Caenorhabditis elegans: one gene and its partners. The protein of the gene in region 1 interacts with the protein of each later gene in a pairwise test. Each region holds a gene or a part of one and is shown in the gene's direction. Other genes may lie near its edges. The genes, in order: mxt-1, shw-3, ife-1 and asd-2.

What was found.
Region 2: the proteins of mxt-1 (region 1) and shw-3 interact in a two-hybrid assay, tested with the Caenorhabditis elegans proteins (one large-scale study listed by BioGRID).
Region 3: the proteins of mxt-1 (region 1) and ife-1 interact in a two-hybrid assay, tested with the Caenorhabditis elegans proteins (one large-scale study listed by BioGRID).
Region 4: the proteins of mxt-1 (region 1) and asd-2 interact in a two-hybrid assay, tested with the Caenorhabditis elegans proteins (one large-scale study listed by BioGRID).

The regions. Positions count from the first base shown.
Region 1 is NC_003279.8:12,841,161-12,848,160, forward strand, and holds the start of mxt-1 (Eukaryotic translation initiation factor 4E-binding protein Mextli homolog), read left to right. Parts: upstream 1-3,108; 5' UTR 3,109-3,467; coding exon 3,468-3,549; intron 3,550-6,657; coding exon 6,658-6,795; intron 6,796-6,963; coding exon 6,964-7,000. Other genes in the region: ptr-17 (SSD domain-containing protein), read left to right, coding at 622-740, 854-913, 976-1,089, 1,318-1,539, 1,973-2,073. UniProt on the Caenorhabditis elegans protein: Plays a role in promoting translation.
Region 2 is NC_003283.11:12,973,434-12,983,519, reverse strand, and holds the start of shw-3 (BTB domain-containing protein), read left to right. Parts: upstream 1-2,910; coding exon 2,911-2,963; intron 2,964-7,178; coding exon 7,179-7,277; intron 7,278-7,329; coding exon 7,330-7,434; intron 7,435-7,480; coding exon 7,481-7,541; intron 7,542-7,587; coding exon 7,588-7,716; intron 7,717-7,787; exon of another isoform or gene 7,788-7,937; intron 7,938-8,249; coding exon 8,250-8,570; intron 8,571-8,619; coding exon 8,620-9,024; intron 9,025-9,210; exon of another isoform or gene 9,211-9,360; intron 9,361-9,672; coding exon 9,673-9,789; intron 9,790-9,847; coding exon 9,848-9,952; intron 9,953-10,000; coding exon 10,001-10,086.
Region 3 is NC_003281.10:13,340,942-13,346,406, forward strand, and holds ife-1 (eIF-4F 25 kDa subunit), read left to right. Parts: upstream 1-2,475; 5' UTR 2,476-2,666; coding exon 2,667-2,721; exon of another isoform or gene 2,722-2,771; intron 2,772-2,882; coding exon 2,883-3,348; intron 3,349-3,394; coding exon 3,395-3,569; 3' UTR 3,570-3,677; downstream 3,678-5,465. Other genes in the region: nud-1 (Nuclear migration protein nudC), read left to right, coding at 589-692, 740-1,598; dro-1 (Protein Dr1), read left to right, coding at 1,743-2,159, 2,242-2,379; acaa-2 (3-ketoacyl-CoA thiolase, mitochondrial), read left to right, coding at 4,018-4,030, 4,101-4,253, 4,304-5,085, 5,456-5,465. UniProt on the Caenorhabditis elegans protein: Recognizes and binds the 7-methylguanosine-containing mRNA cap during an early step in the initiation of protein synthesis and facilitates ribosome binding by inducing the unwinding of the mRNAs secondary structures.
Region 4 is NC_003279.8:6,888,181-6,895,151, reverse strand, and holds the start of asd-2 (K Homology domain-containing protein), read left to right. Parts: upstream 1-3,008; 5' UTR 3,009-3,066; intron 3,067-3,629; exon of another isoform or gene 3,630-3,706; coding exon of another isoform or gene 3,707-3,739; intron 3,740-3,785; coding exon of another isoform or gene 3,786-4,048; intron 4,049-4,092; coding exon of another isoform or gene 4,093-4,403; intron 4,404-4,448; coding exon of another isoform or gene 4,449-4,594; intron 4,595-4,640; coding exon of another isoform or gene 4,641-4,767; intron 4,768-4,817; coding exon of another isoform or gene 4,818-5,056; intron 5,057-5,099; coding exon of another isoform or gene 5,100-5,191; intron 5,192-5,237; coding exon of another isoform or gene 5,238-5,898; exon of another isoform or gene 5,899-5,950; intron 5,951-6,267; exon of another isoform or gene 6,268-6,408; intron 6,409-6,904; 5' UTR 6,905-6,934; coding exon 6,935-6,971. Other genes in the region: C48B6.4 (Tyrosine-protein phosphatase domain-containing protein), read right to left, coding at 3,707-3,739, 3,786-4,048, 4,093-4,403, 4,449-4,594, 4,641-4,767, 4,818-5,056, 5,100-5,191, 5,238-5,898. UniProt on the Caenorhabditis elegans protein: RNA-binding protein that binds to the 5'-NACUAAY-N(1,20)-UAAY-3' consensus sequence in pre-mRNA introns to promote alternative splicing.

The DNA.
Region 1 (7,000 bases):
TGGCTAATTTTTTGCCTGATTCAAGGTTTAGTTTTAAAAAGTGCAGTTTTGCCGACCGGGACGGTTAATTTACGGACCATCTACGGACCGGCTACGGCCAAACTACGGATGATCACCAAAACGGAGGATAATACGAAAAAATTTTTTCATGAAAATGGAGTTTTTGAAGTGCCTACACTCTCCTTTGGCTAATTTGAGCACTTTTCCCGTGCTAGAACCTGAAATTTTCAAAAACAAAAATTTGGTGCCCGGGACGGTTCATTTACGGTCCGTCTACGGGCCGGCGACGGACCGTCTACGGACCGGAAACGGCCCAACTACGGCTCAAGAGCCATCTCGGTCGGTAAATGTGGTTTTTGCTCTAAATAATGCATTTAACGACGTAAAAATTCTTGAATTAGCCAACTGGTATCATAGGTATTTAAAAAAAAATTGTTTTCTTAAAATCCATTTTTTCCTCTTAATGGCCATTTTTTACATTCCCCGTAGTTTGCCCGTAATTGGTCCGTCCCGCTTTTCATATCCGTAGTTCGCCCGTTAATGGTCCGTTCCCGGTCCAAGATCCGTAAACGGACCGTACCCGCTTTGCCTGTGTGAGCCTCAACCAAAATATTTTTGCAGAAAACTGTCCCAAAAACATGCAAACTACAGTATTATTACATATTCTCCGTTGTGGAATATTGCAGACGAGTATGATATTATGTGGCCACAAACTATGCAGGATATCTATATTTCTATTGGTAAGGCATAAACTGTAAACTACAAACTACAAACTACAATTTTTTTATCACTATAGTTTGTAGTTTGTAGTATGATTCTTGAATACTAAAAACTACAAAAATACTAATTTCAGCTGTCATGGTTCCGGTCGCACTGCTCTTCATTCCACAACCACTCTGCTCAGTTATTATTGGTGAGTTTTGTAGAATTCGTAGTATTTGTAGTCTTCGTTGTCTATGTAGTCAAACATCGCAGGCTTAAATATCGCCTCCATCGCATTCGGAGTCATCGGAACCATGTCCTTCCTTGGTGTCAGCCTGGATGCCACGTCAATGATTACTGTAGCAATGAGTGTCGGATTTTCAGTTGGTAAGACTTGGCTACAAGCTACAAACTACAAACTTTAAACTACTAACTACAAACAATAAACTACAAACTACAAACAATAAACTACAAACTACAAACAATAAACTACCCAATTTTTGTAGCCTTCTCCAATTATATCGTCGAAAATCTGCACCCTTCACTACTGTTTTGAAAGCTCTTGGGGAGCAAAAGTCTAAAAATTTTACAAAAAAAAATTAAAAAAATTTCCAGATTTCGCCGCCCACGTCTCTTACGCGTACATGACAGAATCTGGAGCCCAAATTCCGGGAAAAAGTGCAATTTATTCACGATTTTGTCACACTTTGGGTACAATCGGCTGGCCAGTCACACAGGCTTCAGTTTCCGTACTTTTGGGTGTTTCTTCGCTGTATTTGGTGGATAGTTATGTGGTTCAAACGTGTTTTAGGACTGTTGTATTGGTTATTTTATTTGGTAAGTGTTGTGTAAATTCGCTCTAGTGAACTTAGAAAGTTTGGAGGTCTTAGGGGGCCTGGGAACTGACATGCGGGGTGATGGCCTAGAAAATCCTAAATGTGATTTTCTAGGCCACCTAATTTGGAATTAAAAAAAATTTTGGTAATGAAAATGAGCTCTACCAAACTACTTTACTCATACATCTCCATAACATCTGGGAGTTCACATATAGTTTGGTGGCCTAGAAATTTATAAAATTTTTGGTTTCTAGTCCAGCAACTTCAAAAATTTCAAAATTTGTGATGATCTGCTTTACTGAAAATTTGAATCACAGCTGAAGCTAGTACTACCGTACCCCAAATTTAGAACCCTAAGAACTAACATACATACTGGTGGCCTAGAAAACACAAAATCTGAATTTCTAGGCCAGCAACCTTTAAATTCATTCCAGGTACCACCCACGCATTGGTCTTCCTTCCACTTCTTCTAATGAACTGTCACAGGGTATTTGACTACTTTAAGACAACTTCCACGACTAGTACGGAGCCGTGAAATTGATAAAATATCAATTTTTGTGCAATTTGTAACTTATTTATTTATTTCGTTTGTACATACATGTTTTATTTTGGTTTGAAATAATTTTTTATTCACAAAAACTTGAAAGCAATTCGATATCCAAATTTCAGGTTCCAAATTTCAATCTCGTTATCTGTGTCTCTCTAGGAATTCGTTCTTTTCCGATATGTTTTAGAAAAAGAGACAAAGAGAAAAATAACAATGTGTTGATTATATGTAAATGATTATGTAAATTTGTGCCACCCGAAACTCCCTGACCGTTTTGAATGATGTCTGAAATGATTTTCCGAAATGGAAAATTGAGGTGCAAGATGAGAGATGCTTAGACTACAAACTACAAAACTATCTTAGCCTGAACCAAAAAATACACAGTATCTCAGCAACTGATTTCCAGCAAGAGTTACTGTGTTGTAAAGTACGTAAAAATAAAAACAAAATTTTAAAAAACCAGGTAACTTTGCAGGTGAAAAGAAAAAAAACCAATTTTTGGGATTTTTCGATTTTCAAAATCTCATAACTTTTACTAAACTTATCAGATTTTTCCAATTTTAATTTATTTTGAAGCTGAATATGTTTTCTTATAATAAATCAAAATTATTATCTGATTAACAAAATTTTTTTAAAAAAAACCTAATCCCAAAAGCTCCAAAAAAAATTTTTTTCGAGTTTTGGAAATTTTCAAAATAGCATAACTCCTTTCAAAATTGTCCAAAATTTAAATTTTTTAACTTTTTTTGAAGCTCAATTTTTTAAAACTTTTTTTTCAGTACCACAAAACATTCCAACCAGTGTTTCTAATTTTCCCCGCCGATAAAGTCTTTTGGAACTCAAAATCAACGAATTTTGATAATTAATTTCAGATAAAATGACAGTCTTTTGTGCCAAAAAATGATTCAAAAATACCCCTAATATTCAATTTCCCTTTCCCTCATTGCAAATTTTGTTGTAAAGAAAAACGGAAAACAAAAAGAGACAGAGATGATAGGAACAGAACAAAAAATGGGCGGAGCCAAACTGAGTGGCTCATCTCCGAGAGAATGTGTAAAATCAGGAGAACACAAAGATATTAACACACGGGCGGTGCTGTTCAGTTACACGACGTTTTCATCCCCAAAAACGTTACCCCTAACGTCCCGCCGATATTTCGAATTTATTTTAAAAATTACGAACGATTTTTGGATTTCTGAAAAAAGTTTTTAAAAAACTTTTTTTCGGATTTCCTAAAAAATTTCTTCTACTTTTTCACTGTCCACCAACATCTCCTGCCACCAGCCAACACATTCTTTCTTGCACACGAAACTGTCATTTTAATCTGAAAAAATAATTAAAATCAAAATCAATTGATTTTGATTCCCAAAATCTGAAAAACCATGCTTCATAACTACGACGACTTTGGCGGCGGGAAAATGCAGGGCGCGCCTCAGGTGCCCCGAAACACCTTGTTGAGTGTTGGTGAGTTATTTTTGTAATAATAAAAAAGATAATTGTTTGAGCTTCAGAGTAACTTAAAATTTGGAAAATTTAAGCAAGTTTGAAGAGACTTAAGTTTGGAAAAAATTCGAAAAAAAATGTTTTTTTTTGATACTTTTGAAACTGAAACTTTTTTTGACTTATTGTCATATATTAGTCTAAATATAATTTAAAGTTAAAAGAATATATATTAAACTTCAAAATAAAGTAAAAATTAGAAAAATCTATTGGTTTTGAAAGGAGTTATGATATTTTGAAATTTGGAAAACTTTCGAAAAAAAATAATTGTTTTCGAAAATTTTGAAACATGTGTTTTTTGTAAATTTTTTGTGCAAGTATAGCTTTCTGTAAGAATTAATTGTTTTCCATAAAAAAATTTGAATTTAAAAAAATCTGATAATTTTGAAAATTTAAGAAATCTCGAAAAAAATGTTTTTTTTTTAATTGTGAATCTGGTTTTTTTTTTGGTTTTTGTATTTTTCCTATAAAATTAAAATGTTTTTATAAAAAACAAATATTTTGCTTCAAAATAACATAGTAATTGTACAAATTGGGTAATTTTGGAAGAAGTTATGAGATTTTGAAATTTTTTAATTTTTTAAAAATAATTTTTTGGAAGTTTTGAATTGAATTTTTTTTCAACTGATAGTGAAACTAGAAAAAATAATTTTAATTTTTCGATAACAATAAAAATTTTAGCTTCAAAATAAATGTACAATTTGTTAAGCCCGATTTTTTTTGAAAAAAATTACGGCATTATATAATATAATAATAATAATATAAATATATAATATTCTGATAATATTCTGATCTGATTTTTTGTGAAATGTTTGCAATAAAAAATTGCGAAACCTGAATTTTTGTGCAACTTATTTTAAAAAAACTGTTTATTATTTAAAAATTTTAAAAGCTAAATATTCAGCTCCAAATTGTATGACCAGTTTGCATACAGTTAATATTTTTCAAAGAATTTTCTAGAGGTAAATCAAGGGATTTTGGAAACCCTTTTGTAGTTTGTAGTCCCTCAGTTTGTTCCCAATTTTATAGATTATTTCTGATTTCATAAGCGTTTTTGCAGTTCGTAAACTCAGATTTCTCTCACAGCTGCACTCGATTTTTACACACTTTTTCTTTTCTCCCGGGTGCTCTTCTCTTTCTCTGCGTTTATTCATCCCACATACTCTCTCACATATTCACCCGTTCAGCTCATATATCATCTTAGCTCGTCAAAACGACAAGTTTCTGGTAAAATACTGATTGTGAAAGTAGAGGAAGGGAATTCTACAAGAGTTTATAACTACAAAAAATGACCTCAACCGAAAATATGTTGGGTGAGGCTATGAAGCTTTGTAGTTTGTAGTTTGATAGACTGAACCAAAAACTATAGAGTTGAAGCCATGGGTGCGGGTTTTTCAATGTTTTCAGAATTCTCATGAATCCAAAAATTCCGTTTTTTGATTTATCCATTTTTAGAAGAAAAGTTTTTTTGTTTTATCAGCTGGAATAGCCATCCCGCAGCCCAGCATAAGGCTTAAGCCTAAGACTAGGCCTAAGCCTAAGACTAAGCCTAAGCCTGAGCCCAAGCTTCAGCTTAAGCCAAAGCCTAAACCTGAGCCTAGGTCTAAGCTTAAGCCTATGCCTAAGCTTAAGCTTAAGCCTAAGCCTGAACCTAAGCCTGAGGCTAAGCCTAAGCCTAAGCCCTCGTGCTAGGTAACTTTGTAGTTTATAGCCAAAAACTCAACTAATCAAAAAATAATATTAGTTCATTTATTTCCATCTAAATCAACCCATGTTTAACCCAATTTTCCTCCCCCTCCATCGTTACAAAGTCGATCAGCAAATACCTGAAAAGCGGCTCGCCGAGCCGCCACTTAACATTGTACAGAAGCCGACAAAGGAGAAATTGTTAGAAATGAAAAGACGCAGACAATGTTAAAGAGTTCATTCGTGTATTTTTGATATAAAATTGATAAGGATTAAGTGGGGGGAGAAGACATTTATTTGTTTTTGGAGAAATGAGAGATTTTTGAGACTTTTCGTGAACTTTTAGAGGTAAAAAGGTAAGGGGTTTGGAGTTGGGAATTTGAAAATATTTAATTTGAAAAAAAATATTATTCAGAAAAATTTCAGTATTTTGTTCAGTTTTCAGTAATGATTTCAATTTTCAAGTTAAAAAAAATTGTTTTAAGTAAAATACAGTTCAGAATCCACAAAAATTGATTAAAAATTAAAAATCGACATTTTTTGGTTTTTTTAAATTTTTTTTTCAACAGAAAAAATCTATCAATCATTTCAGCGTTAAAAAAATCTTCAAAAATTTTTGTGCCGAATTTTTTAAAATCAAAATAAAATACCAAAATTGATATTGCTATTTGAAAATTAAATAATATACTTTTTAAATTATTTATTTGATTTATTTTCAAATCTATGCGAACAAAAAACACACCACATACTACATACTTTAAATATTTGTTTAATTTTCAAAAGTAAATTTTATTTTAAAAATCCAGTATTTATTCAAATTAGCTAGAAATGTCAAATTAATTCAGCTTAAATACTGAAATTTTAAAAACTTTATAGTTAAAAAATTTGCACAATCAATTTATTTTAAAATATGATTAAAAGTAAAGAAAAACTTTTCAAACTAAAAGTGAATATTGAAAAGTTCTGAAATGTTTTTAAATTTTTGGTACTTGTGTATTATTTCCCCTCGTTTTATTATTATCCATTTTAATATAGCGTGATGTCCAGTTTCCCTTCTTAGGCTTAGAAATGGTTATTTGCTAAGACTAAAAATACAAAAACTCCACACGTTTTTATTTAAAAAATTATATTTAAAAATGAGGGGAAATAATACACAAGTACCAAATTGTTTTAAAATCAATTATTAAATCTGAATTGTTAACGTTTATTTGAAAATAGTAATATAAAAACGGAAAATTAAATGTAATTTTTTTTAGAAAAATACAATGTTTTTTTTAACTATCCAAGTTTAAAAAAAAATTACTTTCCAAAAAAAAATTCCAAAAAAACATTTTTTTTTCAGAAATTTTTTTTCCAAAAATCCAAAACTCTCCAAACTTTTTCCAGACCAACAACTACAGCTAATGAACACAATCAACAATATGGTACGTGCGAGCCAATTCACTTCACAACTCGCAAACACGATCTTCACACTTTGTGCTCAACTCAAAACTTCGGGTTCGATGCTGGAACAATCACATAAAAGTGAGTGGCCTAATTTTTTTTTTCGGAAAGTCAGGCCATCAAAGCTCTATAAGTGAATAAGTGAAAATTGCAGAAAAAATTCAAAAAAAAAATTTTTTTTGATCATTTTTGAACATTTTTTCCAAAGTTTTAAAACTATAATAATTTCAATTTAAAAAATTTTTGCAGATGAATTAAATAAAGTTTTCACATCATTACGTCAAGC
Region 2 (10,086 bases), on another chromosome or scaffold:
CAAAAGCAATCAGTATGCTAATTGAACCTCGTGAGATAACTCTATAACCTCATTTATATATATATTTCTCTTTTGTTTTTCCCTTTGTCAGTTGTATAACTTTCTTTTATCAAATTATTTCCCTACGAGATTTTTAGAAAACTCGTTTTCCTGTTTCTTCTGTTTTTGCTTCATCACCATCAAATTTTCATCATATCCAAACAGCTGAAAAGTGCTGGAAAAAAGAATGAAAAAAAACAAGATTAGTATTCGGGTCAGTATGGGGAACCTCTGAAAAAAGAACGGCTCAAGGAAAAAAAATACTGAAAATATAGTCTGGCGTTGAAAATTAGAGGCCAAAGGCGGACAAGAGCAATATTTGAAATTAATTTCTACATGCTTCTTTTCCTCATCTCACTTCAAACAAAAAATTTGCTTTCTTTTTTCTTTTTTTTTTGCAAAATTAAACTAACTTGTGTTGCAAACTAAATTTCACGAAAAAGTAACACAAATTTTTTTGAAAAAGCTTAGTTTTTTAAATAATACCTGTTCATTTCTATATTTCCAAAAATTCCAAATTTCAGAATGTAGTTTCTCACTTTAAATCATATTGAGAAGTCTAAATTATATAACTGCCTATATTTTTCATAGTAAAGCTTTTATGCAGTTTAGTTTCTCTGGAAAAAAAAACATGGATTATTTTCGAAATTTGTCAAATATTTTGCTTCAGCGTCATTTTCTAAATGCCACTCAAAACATCCCGAAAAAAATGAAAATAAATTTGACGATCATTTTTGAAGTTTAGTTTACAAATCTTTTTGTCGAAATTATTTTTGAAAATTTCAAAAAATTACAGTTTTAGTGTATACCACTTTGGTAATTAAAAAACGTTTTTCAGATTCCAGTAGGTCTATGAAATTGTTGAGTGATAAGTTGAACTTTAAGCTGATGCTATAAAATAATTTCAGAAACAAAAATTGTTAACTTTCTTGAACTAATCATTTGCCAACTAACAATCAACTATAAATAAAGACGAATCCTGTAAAACAATTGCATACCTGTATATCAATCAATTTACTGTTTTCTATGTCTCCAGCTTTTCGAAACTCTCAATGAAGAAAATAAAAGTAAAGAAACAGAAAAGTACATTTCCAAAAGTGCTTGTCACTTCCAGCTCTTCTCCGTGTCCGTTTTGATCTGAAGTGCTTGCGACGATGGCGACCGAATAGCTGACTTTCTCGTGCCAATTAATCAAATTTATTCACATTCACATTCGCACACATATCTCCACCGCTTGCTCCTCCTCTTCTTTCATTCTTTTTTTGGTGAAAGCACTGATACATCCTTCTCATCTAAGAATTTGTCAACTGAAACCCACCCAAATTATACATTTTACTCGATTCATTAGATATATCTCAGTTCTCGGTTTTCTCTTTTTCCGCTTTAAGATCACTGTTCATTTTAATTCACATATATTTTTAGGTGCTTGCTTTCTAGTTTTAAAGTTTCCCACGTACTTTGCTGTCATAAAAACGTCATAATTTTGATAATAAGATATTTTTTGAGACTAGTTGACAAATTAATATGATATATACATATTCAACACTCTCTTGCACTTTTGTTATTCGCAGTCACTTCCAAAATAAAAATTTTATTAGCTGATTATTAAAATGTATCGCTATGTTCAAGCTTGTTTTTGATTTTGCATTAAATTGAACTTTCGTTTTGGGAAATTAAGCAATATTTTTTTATTATTTTTGTCTATAGAAATAAATTTAACAAAAAATTAGTATTCTTCAAAACCTCGACTGAAAATGATAACCTCAAGCTAAAAGTTTCGACGTTTTCTCGTTCGTTTCCAAAGTTTAAAAATTTACCGTATTTCTTCTATTAATATGGCTGCAATACTATTTTTCGAAGGTCTTCCCGCTTGCAATACTATTAGGGAGTGCAAGACTAATAGGGAGTGAAATACTATTTTTCAGAACATTTTTCTGTGTTGGGGCTTACTAGTATTTACTTGAAAAAACTCCAACTTTAATTTGGAAATATAGAAAATTTGATTGAAATTGCAACAAAAAGGTACAATAACTTCAATCTCATAAAAATTTTCTTATAAATTGTTGCAAAATATTCAAAAAATGTTATTAAAATCTTAAAATTAGTAAGGAGGGTTTGCACCAAAAAAAAGTAGGTGCAAGACTATTAGGGAGTGCAACACTAATAGGGAATGCAATACTAATTTTCGGAAGGTCTTTGAAGGGCAATACTAATAGGGAGTGCCAGTCTAATAGGGAGGCCAAACTAATAGAAGATATACGGTAAAAGATTATAAAATTAGAAGTGAAGATGTTACTAAAAAATTGTTCTCTGTAGGTTAAAATTCTAACTTGCTTTTTCAATAAACCTAAAACTTGCCTGGTAAAACATTTCCCCCGTTTCCGGGAATTTTCCTCAAAATATATCAACTTTTAATAGCAAAAGTGTTCTGAGACACTGAAATTGATATCCTGTGAAACAGCATCTGACCACTAAAACAATTATCGAAACTCAGACGTTCAATTTTTCCATTTTACAAAAATTATAGCTTGAACACATTTTGCAAAATGCCGAATGACAGATTCAACTTTGAACAAATATTTTGCATTTTGCATTTCCTTTAAAAAAAAATCTCCCAGTTATTTTGTCAGAAAATGGGGTGACACAAGAAAGAAACTTTTTTTGAAAAGCCTTGTTTGTTGCTTTCTCATTTATTGCCGTCGCCGGAGGCCTCTTTCCGAATTGTTGCCAGGACACCTTTTCCTAGTTTTTTCGTTGATTTTCATGTCTCACAACTTCAATTTTTCATTCTTGATCGAAATATTCTTCGTTTCAATTTCTGCTCTTTTTCATTTCTTCTTGATTTAGTATTTTTGGATCGTCCCCCCGTCAATGTCAATTCGACGACGGAACAATAATGGAACAAGTCCGTCGACCGCATTTGGGTAAGTGTTTCAAACAGGAAGAAATTTCAACAAAAAATGAAAAAGCAATTTGCAAAATGAATGGGAGCAGTGGAAAAAAAGTGAAAATGAATTAGATATACTGATGCTCTCTCTCTCTCTGCAAAAAAAGAAGATGAGAGAATAAAAATTAAATTGAGAAAAGGGCAGGTTACAAAGCTCATTGTCCTTTTTTTGCCAATCATTGTGAGTCTAAAATGGGCGACAGCATTCAAAAATTGTGAACTCTAGATTTTCGGCTTAAAAACTTGCATGCCGTGTTCGTAATTGTGTTTGTAGTGTTGTGAGCTAGTTGAGTGAATTTTGCTTAACAATTTTAAAATTCATAATTTTTTATTATAATGTGTCACTGTAAATAATACTTTGGATTTTTTTAACCATTATTTCCCACGATGAGTTATCTGAACCGGTTTATCGTTATCTGAAAACTCATAAATTTTACCAAGATTTCTGCAAAATACGGCTGATCTTACAACAAGTCAGTGTATTAGAGGGCGCAACACTAACTTTCGATTTGCTCCTAGGGCTGCAATACTAATATAGAAAACACGGTACATAGTTTTACAAGGTGTTATAAATTACAGTTATTTTTCTAAAAGTTTTATAAGAACCTCTTAAACTTGGACTATTTAAAATCTAAACTTCAAAACATTTTTTACAGCTGGATTTTTAACCCCGATGCTTTCTAACAACTTGCTCGCGTAAATCTTATTTTTCTTAGCTTCTACCCTGACAAAAGTAATAAACCATTTTCTTCAAAAATATCTGGAATAACAATAATAATAAAAGGGTAATAATCCGGTGTGTCCACTCATTTTTGCACCAACTGCTTCCTTTCCTCGGTGGCCCACATCTCCTTCATTTCCTTTATTCTTTCTTTCCCGCACTCTCGTCATGCGCATTCTTTTTTTTTCAGTCGACACCTTCCAAAAGAGAAGTGACAAAGTACATTTCCGTGTCCTTTGATGAGCAGCAATTAATGGGATGGAAGACTAGTGAGGGTGGAGGTGAATCTAGGAGAGATTCTAAATGTAGCCATGAATATAAATATTTGCTCACAAGTATTTTCTTTTTTCGCCCGGAAGTATCGCTTGAAAATCTTCGAGATCTTGAAAATCTTACTATTAGGTTCTTATAAAAAATGCTTCTTCAGATTCTAATTTTCGTTCTTACTGCACGTTATTTCCTATGTTTTGCTTTTTCGTCTAATCTAGTAGTGTCAGATTCTCAATTTGCTGCTGACCTTCTCACTTTTCATACAAATTCTTCATGATTCGGTTTTTCCACTATTCTCTCCCTCTCTGTCTCTCTATTTCTCTTCCTCTCTTTTTCCTTTTTTCACACTCCAATGCGGCCACCCAAATTGTATTTTCTGATGATATCTCCATATGAGCCACAGCACCAGTTACAATCTTGCTCAACAAAAATCATTTGTTTACCCCAAGTCACAAATATTCTCGAAAATTGGAACTAAATCTAGAAAGGCACTTCTTTGGACAGAAATATAATTTTAATCTGAACTTCTTATTTGAAGATGGAGTATTGAGAGTAGGGAAATGATTTGAAACCGCTCGTATAGTCCTAAAAATTCAAACTTTGCAAATCAATTTTGCAAAAATTTTGTTAAATTGTTATAAATCTCAGTCAAAAAGTGGAGATAACTCAAAATTGGTTTCAAAATTTTAAATGCGTTTCAATTTTTGTATTTGAACATTCTAGAACATTCAAACCTGCAGCAATTCTTAAAATCACTCAAAAAAAACCGCATTGTTGGAAAAAGTTGCCAGTTCTTCCAAAATTAGAGTAAAACAAATCGAAGAACAGCTACACAGCTAAATTTCAAAAAAAAACGGAGTATTTTCTTACATTAGGAATAACTGATTATAATCAAAATAGCCTGAAACGATACGAAATCTAAAAAATATATAAATGAACAAAAAATTTTTCAAGATAACTCAAGCATCTAATTGTCTAACAAGAAGTAACTCTTTTCCTTTTTCTTCAGTTGGCACCATCGATAATTACGTACATTAAGCCGAGTCTTCTCTGTCCGTGTCCTGTGTGTCTCATCATGATCCATGTACCACCTTCTTCTTCTACTACTACTTCTTGTTCTTTTTCCTCCTTTCTCGAAGTCCTCTTCCTACTCTCTATTTCGTTGTCCTGCAATCTAGAGTATGTGACAAAACATATCAAATTACCCGTGAACGATAATCTCTCTTTATTTCGTCTCATCTCTCTTTTTGCTCTGCAGAGGATCGGCTCATCATCCACTTGTTGGAATGTCTATTTTCACCGCCATCGCAACACTTTTGACAATTCAAAAAAATAATTTGTTGATGTTCGCTTTTTCTGTCCAACTGTTTCTAGGTGACCGAGTTCTTTTGCTAGAAAAGTCAACAAAAAGTGAATTAGCTGGCTGTTGCTGGGGAAAAATGTGGATTTGAAATATTTTCGGTCACATTTCCCTCTCGCTTTGCTTGCTTTGAATCAAAATTTCAATAGGTACTTGCTTTTCGTGTTTTGAGACTATTTGGACTTTCTTTGTGGTATTTGGGTGTGGGGTTTATAAGTTCAACGTTTCGTTTTTTCTTGCCAAAATGTTTAGTAATGATAATGCAATCGTTTCCAGACCAAAAGGCGTACAATTGTAGTTTTCTGATTTCGGAAGTTAATTGTATTTTTGGAATGTGAAAAACAATCCGGCAAAAACATTGAACACCTCTATCTGGTTGATACAATTTTACGGTGTATTTTGTAATAAAAAATAGAATTTAATAAATATAGCTGATCAGAGCGAAAAAATACAAAGAACCACATGGAGTCATATTCAAAAATCTATAGAAATAGTGACGTAGGAAATTATAAAATTATACATTATCCGAAGAAAAATAGCTTACTCAAAAAATGTTCATAATCAAGATCGACCAAAAAATATGTTTTGAGTTGTTATGTGAGTTTATAAGAGTATAATGTAAACAAATATTTATCCATGAAAATCATTTTCTTAAATTTGAATCGTTTTCTAATAGAGCATTTTTATTAAAATAAATCTGTAGGTTTAAAAAAAATTGTTTTTAAAACGTGACCTCCAAAAGAACTAAAATAAATTTATTTTTGTTTTATTGTCGAAAGTTTATTGTTGAAATTGTAAACTTGGGAATCTGCCTCGCAATAAGTATCCGTACAACTTACTTTCTAAACTAACTGTGGATATTTTTGATATTATAGGTTAACTTCAAACTTCTTTTTTTTCAAATCGAATAGATGTTTTTCTACATTTAAAAATAAATTTTTGCTCTAAAATGATATGCACACTGAAATTAGCAGTTTTGTGGATTTACCTAGAAGAATTTCCTCAAAACCTTTGTAGTGATACTAGAAAAATGCAGAAAACTTATTTTACCCATATCAATTCAAAATTTTCGGAACTTTTTCACGAGTACCGAGCCTCCCAATCTTAACAACTATCTGTAACTATACATCTCACGACGCCTCTCCTTTCGTCTTGTCTCTCATTTTGGCGTATGTGATCAAATTTTAATGAGGAAGCGGAAGGGACCACAAACATACAAGAGCGGGAACAATGGAAGCAAGAAGGGTGGGACGGGAGAGACATAGGAGATATGGCTCCAACTGGGGTGGTGTTGGTTGTGTGGCGTCGGCTGCGGCAAAAAATAAGACTGCTCCTCTGGCCCTTCATTCTCTGCTCTGGTGGCACGCTTTTATGATTGTTATTATCCGGTCTCAACACAACAATTCATCACGCTCCAGATGCTGCTTTTGTGCCAGATCTCTTGAGCCACCAGAAACAAACTTACAAATTTACGATTTAGATGCATTACGGATAACTTTTGTGAACATCCCCCTCCTCCTACCGTAGTCGACTCCAAAGTGATATGTTTTCCGTCATTATGTTCGGGCTTATGTGCATTTTTATGTACGTCTTGCTTTCTCAACAACAGCTTTCTAAGTTTGATATCACTTTCTGTATATTTAGCTGAGATTAAGCGTCCTTCGAAGGATATACAACATACTGAATTACGTCTAGTGAAAGGCTTAAAAGTTAACTAGTAGGCCTGACTGAAAAACTTGGTTTTTGAAATCCAAAAAAACATCAATTATACATTGCTCACTAGTCAGTTAACGTTGTTTTTTTTTCATTTGCTTACAGAAACAATTTTCTAATAATTACAGACAGACTGTCATGGACAGTGAATACCGGATCATACTCAACGTGGGTGGTGTTCGACACGAAACCTATAAGCATACGCTTAAGAAAATTCCAGCTACACGGTAAAGTAACAATTATTCCATATTTCTTTCTAGCATGATTTTTTTTATTCAGACTATCCCGGTTGACTACAAATTTGGCCAATTATGATCCAGTTTTAAACGAGTATTTTTTCGATAGACATCCCGGAGTTTTTGCGCAAATACTAAATTATTATAGGTAACAAGGCACAAATCGCATTTTCGATAATTTTTTTGAGTTTAAGAACGGGCAAATTGCATTATCCTCTTGACGTGTGTGGACCATTATTTGAAGAGGAGTTAAAGGTAAGAAGATAATTGTTAAAAGATAAGAAAATACATTATTTTTTAGTATTGGGGACTTGATTCAAATGAATGCGAACCATGCTGTTGGATGACATTATCTGGTACAAGAGATACACAAGATGTGCTCAAAACATTAGACGAGTTGGATATTGAAGTTGATCAAACAGAAGGACCTGTAAGCTTTTTGTATAACAAGAGAAAAATGCAGAATTTTAGAACATTTTTTATCCATTATGATTCATTTTACAAAGCAATATAAAAGTTTTTGCGACTCCTAATCAAAAAAAAACCGGCATACTAAGTACAACGTGAATTTGGTTGCTATGTCTGCACATTGTGGAGTAAAAAGTAATCGAATGAGATCGTGGCGAGACCCACCGAGAAAAAAACCGTGCCTTTAAATTTTAAAGGCACAGTTTTAAATTTGAAGTGTTCCTATTATAGTTTTTTTTGAAATTTTGAAGCTTCATTTTAAAGTTTAAAATGAAGCTTCAAAATTTCAAAAAAAAAACACTATAATAGGAATACTTCAAATTTTTCGAGGTTTCAAACTCGCTATACTTCAGATTTTAAAGTAACTATTATAGAAGTAAATATTGGTGCCAGATATCTCTCAGATAGTCAGAAAAATTCTATTTTTTACCAATTTGACAATAGGCTTGGTCTAAAAAAGTCACGATTGGCAAAATTAAAACTCGAAATTTTCAGGAACTGTACAAACGATTTGGTTGGGAGGATGACTATCATAATGATAGTCTCAGTGCCTGGCAGAAGATCAAACCTCGGATTTGGAGGCTTTTCGATGAACCAAATTCATCTAGATCAGCACAATTTATAGCAGCTATTTCTGTATTTTTTCTGATAACAGCCATCATTGTTTTCTGTCTGAAAACCCATCCTGGTTTGAGGATCCCTGAATTAGCTCCATTTGGAAACTTTTCGCGGAATCATCGGAGTACATCTTCACGAATACATCCTGCACAGATAAACATTGATAAGGCCAATTCTAGGCCTCATCCAACTTTTATGGTACAGTATACAGAAAGATTGAATATTTAATATTCCTTATACTTTTCAGTACATAGAAACAATATGTAACATTTGGTTCACGATTGAAATTCTGGCAAGATTCTCTTCATGTCCATCTCGTTTTGAATATCTTCGTGCACCTGTGAACATTATCGACATTGTTGCCACTTTGACATTCTACATTGATTTATTATCAAGCATGTTTGGAGCAACTGCAGATCTTGAGTTCTTCTCCATCATTCGTATTATGAGACTTTTCAAATTGACTCATCATAATTCGGGACTCAAGATTTTGATGCACACCTTCCGAGCATCAGCAAAGGAATTGATGCTACTTGTATTCTTTTTGGTATTGGGAGTTGTTGTATTTGCATCACTGGTGTATTATGCAGAACGGGTGGAAAGTAATGAAGATAATCAATTTGTGTCAATTCCGATTGGATTGTGGTGGGCGGTAAGTTGAGAATGTCTATTTATACTCACGTTAAGCCCTTTAAATTTTGAACTCAATATTTTGAAAGTACCTTTCTCCTTTTTTTTATTTTTTGAGTTGGATGAATGATTCAATTTTTCAAAACTATTTTTTATAGTTTCCAAAAAATTTCTGTACTGCGTGCCCACTTCTAAACATTCTTTAAAAAACAATTAAATGTCTGGAAATAACGTATTACGGGAACACTACGTTTTGAGGATGCGTATTGCGCAACATATTTGACGCGCAGAATATCTCGCACCGAAAACTACAGTAGTTCTTTAAATGACTACTGTCGCATTGTTTTTCACTTTTTTTTTCTGATGAAACATTGTAAAAAAACAACGAAAAATAGGAGGAAAATTAAATATCGTTGTCACAATTAGAAAAGAAATTCGTTTCGAAAGTGCAGCCTGTAAATTGACATCAGTGTTATAATAACATGTTACAGTAGACATTTAAAGATTTACTGTAGTTTTCGCTGCGAGATATTTTTCGCGTCAAATATGTTGTGCAATACGCATTCTCTGAATTTTACATTCTCGTAATATTTCTTGTTACAAATTCTGAAAGTAAAATGAAACCTTTCCTTGTAAAAATGAAACATCAGAACAAAATTCCAATTTCCAGATCGTCACAATGACAACAATTGGCTATGGTGACATAACACCTCATACATATCTGGGCCGCCTGATTGGTTCGATTTGTGCTCTCGCTGGTGTATTGACAATCGCTTTGCCAGTTCCAGTATGTTTTCCATTTATTATTCAAATTAATGTTGCCAGTTTTGAATTTTAATTTCAAGGTCATCGTCTCTAACTTCGCCATGTTCTATTCCCATACACAAGCTCGTTCAAAGATGCCCAAGAAAAGACGAGGAGTGCTCTCAATGGATCAAGTTGCTCAGCATGTAAGTAAAATATTCTAGGGGAGGCATTCGTGTATTTCAAACTTTCAGGTAAAACATGCTCCGGTTCGAAATTCCAATGGACCAACGCAACGGAAGAATATGGAAAATACACCACTTGTATCCAACAACCATAC
Region 3 (5,465 bases), on another chromosome or scaffold:
TAACGGGAGAAATAGTAATGCACTAGGTAACTTATTGCTTTTTTTTTCTGAAAATTACTTTGAATTCAAATTTGAATTTTTAAATTTCAAATCAAACTACTGTAGCATCGAGTTTCGCGTCAGCACGAGAGTTGCGCCAGTCGCCGCGCCAAGGCGCCTAGAAAAAACGGCGCTCGCAATTTATTTTCAATTTTACACATTTTCTCTCCTAATTTATCGATTTTGCGGGATTTCGCACAGATTTTCTTTGATTTTTCAACTATTCTCATTGTCCCAGAAATATAATTGAGCATTATGAGCCACCTGCTTTCCCCAGGCACTTGCAGTATCCATGGGAACATGGCGAAAATAGGATTTACCAGAAATTTCGAAATAACTCAATTTTTCTAGTGATATTTGTCAAAATAAATGGTTTTCTAGTTTGTAAAATAAGTTTTTAACTAGATTAAGTAGAATTTGTCCTGTAATTATTGCGAAATAACTATGTTTCTTGATTTTAGGCTCTATTTTCAATAATTCCGGATTTCCTAATGTTTTTCTTCGTTTTGGAAGTAGTTTTTATTAATTAATATATTTAAATTTCAGAAAATGTCTCAATATGAGCGATTCGACTCGGTGCTGCTCTCCATGGCCCAACAGCTGAGCGGCGGAGTGCCTGAAATGCTTGATGTACTATTTGAATTTCTTTCGAGGTAAGAAATTTTTTCAAAGTGCTTAATAAATACATGTTTTGTTTCAGAAAGACGGATTTCTACAGTGGCGCTGGTGTCGATCAAGCCCGGACCCTTCTCCTCGAAAAATTCGATAAACACGGTGGAAAGGCTATGAAGGAAGCTGAAGAAGCCAAGAAACGGAAGGAAGAGCAGGAGAGGAAGCTTGCTGAACGAAGAGCTGCACAAAAAGCTAAGGAAGAGGAAGAGTTCCGAAATGCGAAAGTCGTGGAAGTCACTGATGAGGAAGCGGCCGCGTTTGAAAAGGAACAGGCTAAAAATTCTGTTGAAAATCTTGAAAAATTCGTCGATAACGAAGGAGAAACATCGAAAGACGCTGAAGTCGAAGATGAGGACAGTAAGCTCATGAAACCAAATAGTGGAAATGGTGCGGATCTTGCCAAATATCAATGGACTCAAACACTCCAAGAACTCGAGGTGAAGATTCCAATTGCTGCTGGATTTGCTATCAAATCTCGTGACGTTGTCGTCAAAATAGAGAAGACTTCAGTATCTGTCGGCCTGAAGAATCAAGCTCCGATTGTCGATGGAAAGTTGCCTCACGCCATTAAAGTAGAAAATTGCAACTGGGTAATCGAAAACGGGAAAGCGATTGTCCTAACTCTCGAGAAGATCAATGATATGGAATGGTGGAATCGATTCCTTGATTCCGATCCTCCAATCAATACTAAGGAAGTGAAGCCAGAGAACTCGAAATTGAGCGACTTGGATGGAGAGACACGTGCCATGGTCGAAAAGATGATGTATGATCAGAGGCAGAAGGAGATGGGTCTTCCAACGTCTGATGAGAAGAAAAAGCATGATATGCTGCAACAGTTCATGAAACAGCATCCTGAAATGGACTTCAGCAATGCTAAAATTGGATAATTCTGTGAATTTTGTGAGATTTGTTCCGAAAATATTATATTTATATTCGCATAAATGTACTCAGTTTGATATTAATTTTATTTCATCTTTAAACTTTTAATAATGTATTTCTCATTCCTTATATCTCTTTTAGATCCCTTAAAAATGCAGTGCTTCAACACAATTTTCAGACTCTTCACAGATATGGATGAGGACAATGAAATCGGACTTCCACAGAAAGGTATCAACCAAATTATCAAAGAAGTTGTTCCTGAAATGCGAATCGCCAACGAGTCGAGAGATATGATCAATGCTTGCTGCGTTGAGTTCGTGAAGCATATTGCGAGAGAAGCACAACGAATTGCGAGCCAGGATCAGAGAAAAACAATATATCACGAACATGTTCAGAAGGCACTGCAGAATTTAGGATTCACACCAGATTATCTCGAGGCCGCCGACAGTGTTCTCGATGCCTGCAAGGTTGAAGCCGAGAAGAAGCTGCGAAGGAAGAACTCTCGTCTTGAAAAATGTGGTATTCCAGAGGAAAAATTGTACGAAATGCAACAAGAATTAATTCAGAAGGTAATTTTTTGAGGTTTTCAAAAATAATTTTGTTTTTATAAAACAAACACTCATTTCCTCAATGTTAATATTTATTTTACAGGCACGCCAACAAGAAATTGAGCAGCAGCTTGCTCACCAACAAGCACAAGCCGCGGCGGTAGCAGCCGCAAACGCACAAATGTTTGGAGGACCATCAGAGGGCTCTTTGGCTCCAACCGACGATGACTACGACAACTAGATTGTTTTTCTTCGCTTTTTTTTTCTACGGGTTCTCATTTTATTTCTTCATTTGTGTATTTACCTTGATTCATCATCGATAATTTCTAAATCTCTTTTTAAAATTGTTGTACTATATTCCACCATTTCCTATTTTCCCCGTGAATTTTTTTACTGACCCGCTCCATATTTCAATGGCACGTCATTTAGGGCACGATTAGTTGGCGTTTTCCCCAGTTGTTCTCGGCTTCTCAGATCAGTCCTGTTTTTGCCTTGCCAGTTGTCGAGGTGCGAAAATTTTAAGCGCAAATGTCAGATTCTGAAATAGCATTTGAGAAGCTGAAAATCTCTGGGGAGAAAGAAGGTGAGCCATTCCCTTTTTCATTATCGTTTGAGTACTATAAATTATTCACAAAAAAACTGTTTCTCGCCGTTTTGCATCACTTTTTTGGTTCCACGTGCCCATTTTTATTTGCATTCATTTATTCTCTCTGTTTACTGATTTTACTAATCGAGTTCTTCCAGGTATGACTGAAACGGAGCAAACGACGGCACCCATTTATCCGCTGAAGCGTAACTGGACGTGGTGGTATTTGAACGATGAGCGCAACAAGTCTTGGGAGGATCGTCTGAAGAAGGTGTACACCTTCAACACCGTCTCGGAGTTCTGGGCTCTCTACGATGCTATCCGTCCACCAAGTGGCCTCAACGCGTTGTGCGATTACAACGTTTTCCGTGACGATATTCAGCCGATGTGGGAGGTTCCGGAAAACTCGAACGGAGGACGCTGGCTCATCGTCATTGACAAGGGAAAGACTCCCGAAATGGTCGATGCTATTTGGCTGGAGATTCTCATGGCTTTGGTCGGCGAGCAATTCGGAAAGGACATGGAGTCGATTTGTGGGTTGGTGTGCAACGTCAGAGGAAAAGGATCGAAGATCAGCGTCTGGACTAAGGATTGCAACGATGATGAAACCAACATGAGGATTGGGTATGCATGTCTATTTTTAATTCTATCTTGAATTTTGGAATTTCAGAGTTGTGCTGAAGGAGAAGCTGATGGCCGCATCCAAGGACCACTCAAAGCCACTGTTCGATGTGATCCGCTACGAAGATCATGAGAGCTGCCAGAAGAAGACCAGCTCGGTTGTGAAAGCCAAGCTTTCATTGCACTCGTCCGATGCTCCAGTCGCCGAGAAATCCGCCGTCTAAAGCAGACCATTTTGTATCTGCTCTACTTGTTTTTTAATTACACCCGTTGCTTGGCTAGTATTTCACTCGTTGTTTTGTGATTGGTTTAATAAAATTGATGAAAATTAATTGTATTATATTGCCTTGTGGTTTCCAGGCCCAATTTTGTATCTTATTGTAGTGTAGAATGTAGCCTTTAGGTCAGAGAACAAGTAGCGGGAATGATGATAAAAAAGACACCGCGAAAGTCGGCCATTCTGCTTCTTTTTCGTCTCTGCGTCTCTTCTCTACCTATCTTATCGGCCCAACAAACAACCGAAAAACTTTATTTTTGTTCAAAAGCCCCTCTCAAAATAATTATGCAGTTTTCTAAATGCCCTTTTTTTTAGGTTTTTTCACCTCTTCCTAATAATTTGTTACTACTTATAAGAACGTTTTTATTTACAGAACCACACAAATACACTGCAAAATGGCAGGAAAATGTGAGTGGGGGTCAAAGTCCATGGTCGTTGTACTAATAAGTGATCAGTGATGTTTATATTATGTCTGCAGGTGTGTTCATCGTCGGTGCCAAGCGTACAGCATTCGGAACTTTTGGTGGAAAGCTGAAAGGATTGAGTGCAACTGATTTGGGAGTCGTCGCTTCTCAAGCAGCGCTGAAGCACGCTAATGTTGGAGCAGATGCCGTCGATCATGTCATCTTTGGTAGAAAGATTTTATTTTTAGAATGATTTAAAGAAAACCTCTAATTTCAGGAAACGTGGTTGCCAGCTCTCGTGATGGAATTTACCTGAGTCGTCACATTGGACTCAAATCTGGAGTTCCACAAAACGTCGGGGCCCTCACTGTCAACCGTCTCTGTGGTTCGGGATTCCAAGCAGTCGTGAATGCAGCTCAAGCTATCAAGCTCGGCGAGTCCAACATTGTTCTTGCCGGAGGAACCGAAAACATGTCAATGGTGCCATTCGCTGTTCGAGATATTCGTTTCGGAACTGCACTTGGAAAGAAGTACGAATTCGAAGATATGCTCTGGGATTCTCTCAGCGATCCGTATGCCAAGTTAGCCATGGGACAGACTGCAGAGAAGTTGGGCGCACAATACAAAGTTACCAGACAAGAAGCCGACGAATTCGCTCTGAGATCTCAGACCCTGTGGAAGAAGGCTCAGGAGGCTGGTGTCTACAAGAATGAAATCGTTGGAATCACTATCAAGGGGCGCAAGGGAGAAGAAAGCTTCGAAATCGACGAGCATCCGAGAGCCACCACCGCAGAAAGCCTTGCCAAGCTGAAGCCTGTTTTCCAAAAAGACGGACTAGTGAATGCAGGAAATGCGTCTGGAATTTCTGACGGAGCCGCTGCTCTTGTGGTTGCCGGTGAAGACAGTGTGAAGTCGAAGAATCTGAAACCGTTGGCTCGAGTTGTTGCCTATTCTGCTGTCGGTTGTGATCCAACCATCATGGGAATCGGACCGGCTCCAGCTATTCGGGAAGTTCTCAAGAAGAGTGGGCTCAAGATTGGAGATATTGATATCTTCGAGGTAAAATATATTGTAATTTCATCATATTAAAGGCGCACTGATTTATTAAGAAGAGTCTCGGCGCGTGAAAAATTATTTTATTGTAGTTTTTGGAATTTTGACGGATTTTTACTGAATTAGCGAACTTTTTCGTTTTATTTTCATTTTTCTGCTAAAATAGGCCGAAAATGAGTTTAATTGTACTTTGAAATATGATTTTAAACTATTTTAACGGAAAAATCAAAAGAAAAAGAAGTAATTTCATCGAAAAACGCAACCATAAACTTTTTTGCGCGCCGAGACCCATTTGGATAAATCCGTGCGCCTTTAATAAGGTGGAATTACGATATAAAACTATTTCCACATTCAGTCTTAAATTTATTTTTTCCAGGTAAATGAGG
Region 4 (6,971 bases), 6.0 Mb from region 1:
GGACGCAACCTCAAAGCTGATTTCTCAGCTAAACAAAAAATCAATTTTTTTTTGAAAAATGTTTGAACATGAAATATCAGTTCTTTGTTTATCTATTTTTCAAATTATTTCTTTATTTAGTAAAACCTTTCAAAGAAAGTACGAGTAAGCAACACATTTTCTTTTAAAAAAATAAAATTAATTTCTCCAAAAAACAAATGGTTTTCGGGCCATATTCGCTCACCGACCCCCAAATCGGGTCTCGAGTCGATTTTTCTGCAATGGAATAATTCAATTATCTTCTCAAAAGATAAAATATGAAAATTATAATCAGTGCGAGATAATTTCATATGCAAATATCGAGATTCATTTATTGTTATTGCAACTTTTGATTCAATAATCCCGGTTGCACCAGAACTGAAGCTATTTGCTAGTACAAAATTAATAGACTATTTTTTGTTCGAGGCTTTAAAAAACAAGGCGCGCATCATAAAATGCGCATCATAAAAGCGGGCGTCTTCAATATCTTTTTTATTTTTTCAGCAGAACTAGAAAAAACATGTCAAGAACACACGTATTTTTCGAAATAATATAATTCTGGTTTCTGCCTCATTTCGTGTCAATTTTGGATTTACCAAGTATTTCCCATCTCCGCCCATTGTTCTGTTCATGTCGTCGACCGGTCGCCTCTTCAACCGTCGATTACACATTTAACATCTCAATTGCCTTCTCCGCCGTGTACATTTTATTCAGTTTTCTTTTTTTTACGTCAAAATCGATCCCTTTAAGCGAATTCGCATGTGAATAAATCTAAATCTTCGAAAGATTGAATCCGAAATTTAAAAAATTACAGTACTCACCGATACTTTTTCAGTCACCGTGTAAATTCTCCTTTTCGTTTTTTTTTCTTCCTTTGTTTTCGCTGGTTTTCTTTGGTTTTTTTTTCACGAAATCTGTCCCAAATGACGGCTATTTCGAGGATTTTATGACGCTTGAATGTTTGCAAACAAACGGCTTTTTGCCTCCGACGACCCATCGTTGACTTGTTGAAAGCCTAAATTTCCAAAAAAAAAAGTTGAAAACAACAGAAATTCTGTCTGACATTCTCGCGTTAGTGTGTCTGCTATTTATGCAGAAATACTCCTGTAAATAAAATTTTTATCACGAAAGTAGATTTATTTTTTCCAGTCCACAAAATAGATCCGCAGTTATGCAGAAACTTGTGATAATCCGACGAATAAATATCAAAAACATCTCGAGTTCCCATTCAAGTTAATCATTTTCACAAATTTAACTCAACTAGATGATCAACTCAACATCTCTCCAGATACCTGTCACTAGAAATTATATCGTTCTGTTTCCTTTCACCATTTTCTTGCCTTCCGCTTTCATTTTTTCCTCATAAAACGAATCATGGGAACCCCGAAAAGATAGTGTTGATTGAACGGAGACGGATGATGGAAAAAGAAGAAAATACGCGCGCACACATGTTGTCAGTGATGGCTTTCCAGTGATTTTCCAATTTTTATTCGCGTGTGTTCTATATTGAGCTGCTCATCGAATGGATAAGTGTTTATTCTCTAATTACATTCGGATTGTTTTCCATATTGAACATAGTTAGTTACCGAAGAGATTATCTTCTCATCAAGTCTTTGCAATTAATGATATTTTCTAGAAAGGTTTTTTGCGGCGTCCATTTTTTCAAATTCTTGACGGAAATCCGACATTTAGAGCCAATCAATTGAGACAAAGTCGGGGTCCTTTAGTGCTTCCCGATGGCCTCAAATAGCAACAACTGGTGCGGAAAAGTGGGCAAAGAAGAATAAGAGGTCACCTGGCATCGTTACAACTGATCCGCCTGTCATTCTGTCCGTCTAAATCTCTCTAATCCGTAATCTATCGTCATATAAGTTTTCCTGAGCTCATCATCATGTCTTTCACTCTTTCTCTTCGTCCACTTCTCACTCATTTAAGCTTATTCCTTCTTCCTTTGCTTCTCGTTCGAATACTAAAAGAAAGGGTGTATGAAGATGATGACTATAATTAAATCTGCACGCGGCATGTATTAATTCATATTTAGTGGTGGTAGAGGACTCATAGTTTTCTTCATTCCCTCTACCGTGCAGTGAGACATTACTTTTGGAAAAATTTATTGAACTTTACAATAAATTTGAAATATGTAAAGTTGACATATATTTATACCGATACGATAGGGAAGCCAGCTTTTACGAGCACTTTTCCAGAAAACTTGTGTTTTACATCGAAAATACATTTAGCATGAATCTTTTCGCTCAAAATATTTCTGAAAATCTGAAAATGCGAACCCTAATTAATATTTAATTCGATTCGCGGATTTGCCAAATTCTCTTGTTATTCCTCGAATTTCTGGAAAACCCACATCTCGTTTTCTTTCTCTAATATAATCTTAATTCAGATTGAGCAATTCTAAACTTTCAATTTTTCCAATAAATTTTCTTAATACTCTTTACCCTTCCAATACCCTATCCAAAATACTTTCGTGTCAATTTTTCCAAGAATTATTCATATTTTTGAGGTGCAACTCTCACCCCAGTAAGAGAAGATTTTCATTTTTACACGAGGTAGCTTATAAATATCGATGAACTTATTTTTCCAAACAATCTGAGCTTCTCAAATCGAAGCAACAAGTGATATCACATTCAAAATAATTTCTGTCAATGTGGACAATTTCAGTCAGTTATTTGAAAAATACTGAAATTTAAAAAACCTTGCCATTGGAAAATATTCATTCATTGAAAGTATGCTTTCAATATTCTTGCCTCTTATTTCTTTTAGTGCCGCATTCCAACGATGACCTTCTCATTGCAATACATTTGAAAAATGAAAGTGTATGCCGACTGCCTAGGTGTTACGTAACTTGCCATCCAGCCGATTCGGTTTCTTCTCATTTGTTTATTCGCAAATAAAACACCTTATGCTTCTTAGCTCACTTTATCTTTATAGATTTTTATTAATTCAAAAATGACTCCAGTTTTAAATGTTTAATTTCCAGCCGTATTCCTGTCTTCACGCCACCCAATCGATTCTTCAAGTGCTAGGAGCTGTCAGGTAAGCTGTTATTTCTTTTAAAAATTTGTATTTAACTGTAAATAAGTAGAAAACCATTAACTTGAGAAAAGTTCTTCCAATATCCTTTCACCAATTTTATTCTCGTGTCTCGGACAATTCTATTATTCCATCATGCAAGCAATGTACCGGAAAATTGGTGCATTCATAAGGTGCATTCATAAGGCCATCCTTCAATTTCCTTTTACAAATGTTACCTTTTATTGTTTTTATTTTCGGTCCTCTTCCCCTTTACCTACTTTGTTCGGAGCTTTATAATCCTACAGTAATCTCTTAAATCTGAACCAGTTCCCATTGAATTCTTCTTTCCTCTACTTTTTAACATCGATGAATGTGGGTAACCACGGGTGTTAATATCGGGCAATAACGAAATAGTGCAGACTTCACTGGAGAGACCGTCAGAGAAATACCGACAAAGTATGTAATTATGTTCTCCTCCTTTCACCATCACTTCGATGTATTTACTTGCAAGTTTGGAGTTTGTTCACATTTTCAATTCTCCCTCTTATTCTTTTTTAAGGTCAATGCTTTCAGTTCAAAAATAATAAAGCCATATCACTTTATTAAAATTCCATAAAAATCTAGAATACCGTATTCAATATTAACTCTTTGCGTTGTTTTCTTAGGGACCATGAATCAGAAGTTGAGGATTTGACTAAAAAGGATATGGTTATAAATTCAAATAAATGAATCATTCAAACCTGACGTGATACATGCTCATTGATTATTTCGATGTTTCTAACTTTCGAATCAGTAACCTGATTCTTGACGATTTCGTGGAAATGAGTTACATTAACAACATTTTGATACTCAGACTCTCCCATCTTGAAAATCAGAAGTTGCTGTTTCTTCAGGTTCATCGATAATTGAGTCTCAATTCCGAGTCGTTTAACAGTATAAATTCCGCATGATTTCTCACTTTCACTGCCGTAGGGAAAATAGGAAGCACAGTTTGCAGTTTCTTCTGAAATTTAATTTTTTTTTGAAATCTGAGGTTTAAAATTTTACCCGGGTCTAAATCAGATATAGTGTGAATTGTTGGAATTCCTTTATGTAGAATCATTTGCCAAAAGTCTTGTGTCTGTTCTGGATCTGGACTGTTGGCATAAATTTGAATGACATTATTCAGACGGTTTTGAGATTGAATTGGATATGAGCCGAGCGATTTCTGTAGATCAAATTCCTCGGTTTCCAGTTTAACGAGATTTTCAACTTCGTCAGCTCCGCCAATTTGTCTTGATTGGCATCCAGACAGTGAGATCTGAGATGATGAAGAGGTCAGGAAACCCAAATAGCAAGATTTTTCGTAGAGAGCCTTTCTATAAAGAATGTTCGATTTTCATTTCACGGTATCGAAATCAAACCTAGCGTTGGCCGCCTGAATAGGTTGTGTCACGAAATCTGGAACACTGGATCCTTTCTTTTCAATGAGATATGAATTACGCTCCACAAGTCTATCCCGGAGAGGACTGAACTGCATTGGACCATGAAAAAGCCAGTGTTGAGTTGGCTTTAAAAATATAAGATTTATTATTTATTTTTTGATAAAAGCTTACCATATCATTCAAAAGATCTTTTCGAAGATTCTCAAACTCTTCATCTTCTTTTGTATAATCTTTTGATGGATATTCTTGAATATCTCGTTGACAGTGCCAAACAACATACCAACCATAATTTTCTGGTCTAAAAGTTAAAATCAAATCAGTATTAGTAATCTGAACACATTAACTTACACTAGTTTGCATCTTACTGCAAACTTTTGAATTTTGCAATGTCGATATGGATATTCTGGATCTGTCAATCGTCGTACAATTATCTGTCCACATTTGAGAATCTCTTGTTTATCGTCAGGAATATATTGCTTACAGTTGGCCCCTCGTTTCTCCAAAAACTTTCCAAACATTGTAATCAAGCTGATGCGATCTTTATGGCACTGAGTCCAAAAATCTTGTGTTCGAGTTGCGTCAGGGCCCTGAAAGAGTTATAGTGCATTTATTAATTATAATTTCACTTACCAGACATTCGAATTCCAACCCATGACCATTGATTGAAGACTCTACCATGTCAAACTCGTAGCTATTCAGAACTTGCTGACAGCAGGTTTTTTCTGAAATAAAATAACGATACTTGCGATGAAATAAACTGAAACTCACTATCTCTTTCATAATCCTCCTTTGTTGGAATCAATAAATTGGGCTCCGAGTCTTTGTGATTTTCATATTTTTCAAGAAGAGCATTCATATCATACTTTGGCCATCCATTTTCATCATCACTCAAATCAGTTAATAAATCATCAGCTTTACATTCAAGTTCATCAATTTCCTTCAAAATCTCTTCTTTTGGTTTTGATTTACCATAATTCCCAGGAATTCTTCCATGTTCGAGTTCGAAAAGTTCCTTTGGTGTAAGCATGGTTTTACGCTGTTTCAAAAATTCTCGATAGTTTTCCGAGCATACAAGTTCCCTTATATTGGAATGAGTTACATCAATTCCCTGATTGGCAAGATATAACAATGGATCAAATATCGACTCAACACTATCATCACTGGATTGTATATCAAGATGTTCATCGTCAACGCCACTTCCGGTAACATCCACCTCACTTCCAGAAGACACACGTGAGACTTCGGAGACATCACGAGAGATTCTTGAATCGGGAATCGATTCTTCGCATGTTTCTGGAATGACCGGCACTTCCAATATGAAATCTTGAGACTTTGCAACAACGGCGGGACCAGATTCAATATCGACTTTTGTATAATATCGATCCGCTGGTGGCGAGATTTTCGCCTTTTTTGATGATTTTGCACCCATTTTGTGCAAGTTGGAAGACTTCAAAACTCGTAGAAGTTTAAAATGATTGTCTTCGCAAGATTTTATAATCGTGGTTTATTGATCTTCCCTTGTGTACGTTGAAATCAATAATTATGTTTTCAAATGTTTTCACGTCAAAAATGGATTCGTTTTCAAGAATGTTCATATTTTCTGAATATTATCATTCAGTCTTTCTTCAAATGATTTTTAAAAAATAACATTTTTTAATTTTTCTTTGAACAACTCGTGCTCATCCCCTTTCGAACGCTTCTACTGGAACACTTGTTCCATTTTTCGATCCGTTTACATCATCTTATTTTTTAAATTTTGTCACACCAAGCAGTAAAATCCTAAGTGTATATGTCTCTATGTCTCTTTGGAAGACACTTCCGGTATCCGGAAGAGCCGACGGATGCGCGCGCCAATCCTTGTGCGACTGCGGCACTGCAATGGAGAGATGACGGCGGCAATGTTGAAAATGATCACAACAACCGAATAAATGATATATTCATCTTGCGTTAAAAAACACGATTTTCTTCTAATTCCGATAAGATCTTCATTCGAATAATTATATTAAAATGTGCCAAAGCTTCTTGTTATCAATTCTTCCTTTTTTTAAATTCAGATTCTCTTTAAAGCTTGGAGTATTATTTTCTTTTATTGTAGCTTTTTCAAACTGAACATTAAAAAAATTAGGAAAAAAATATTCACAATTTATTTTTTTTTCCGAAATCTTCTGATAAAACACTATAGAATATCTTCCAAAAATGTAAACACGAAAACATCCGTCTAGATAATTCCCGTTTTACGTGACGAATAAGAGGCTTTTGAGCCTACGCTCATCTCACTTGATTCTTAAATTTATTATATAAAGATGTATGCGTCTTCCATCATAAAAATTCTCTTAAATTTTTTGAATTTAAATCCTAATTTCAATTTTAACATACAACTTTCCACATTAAAGTTTTGCCTCTTTTTGAAAACGAGTAATGTTATTTTCTTTCAGAACCGTCTGCGTTGGAACTCTTCTTCAAAAATGCTCTCCACGATGGTACATCACTTTGACGCCAATG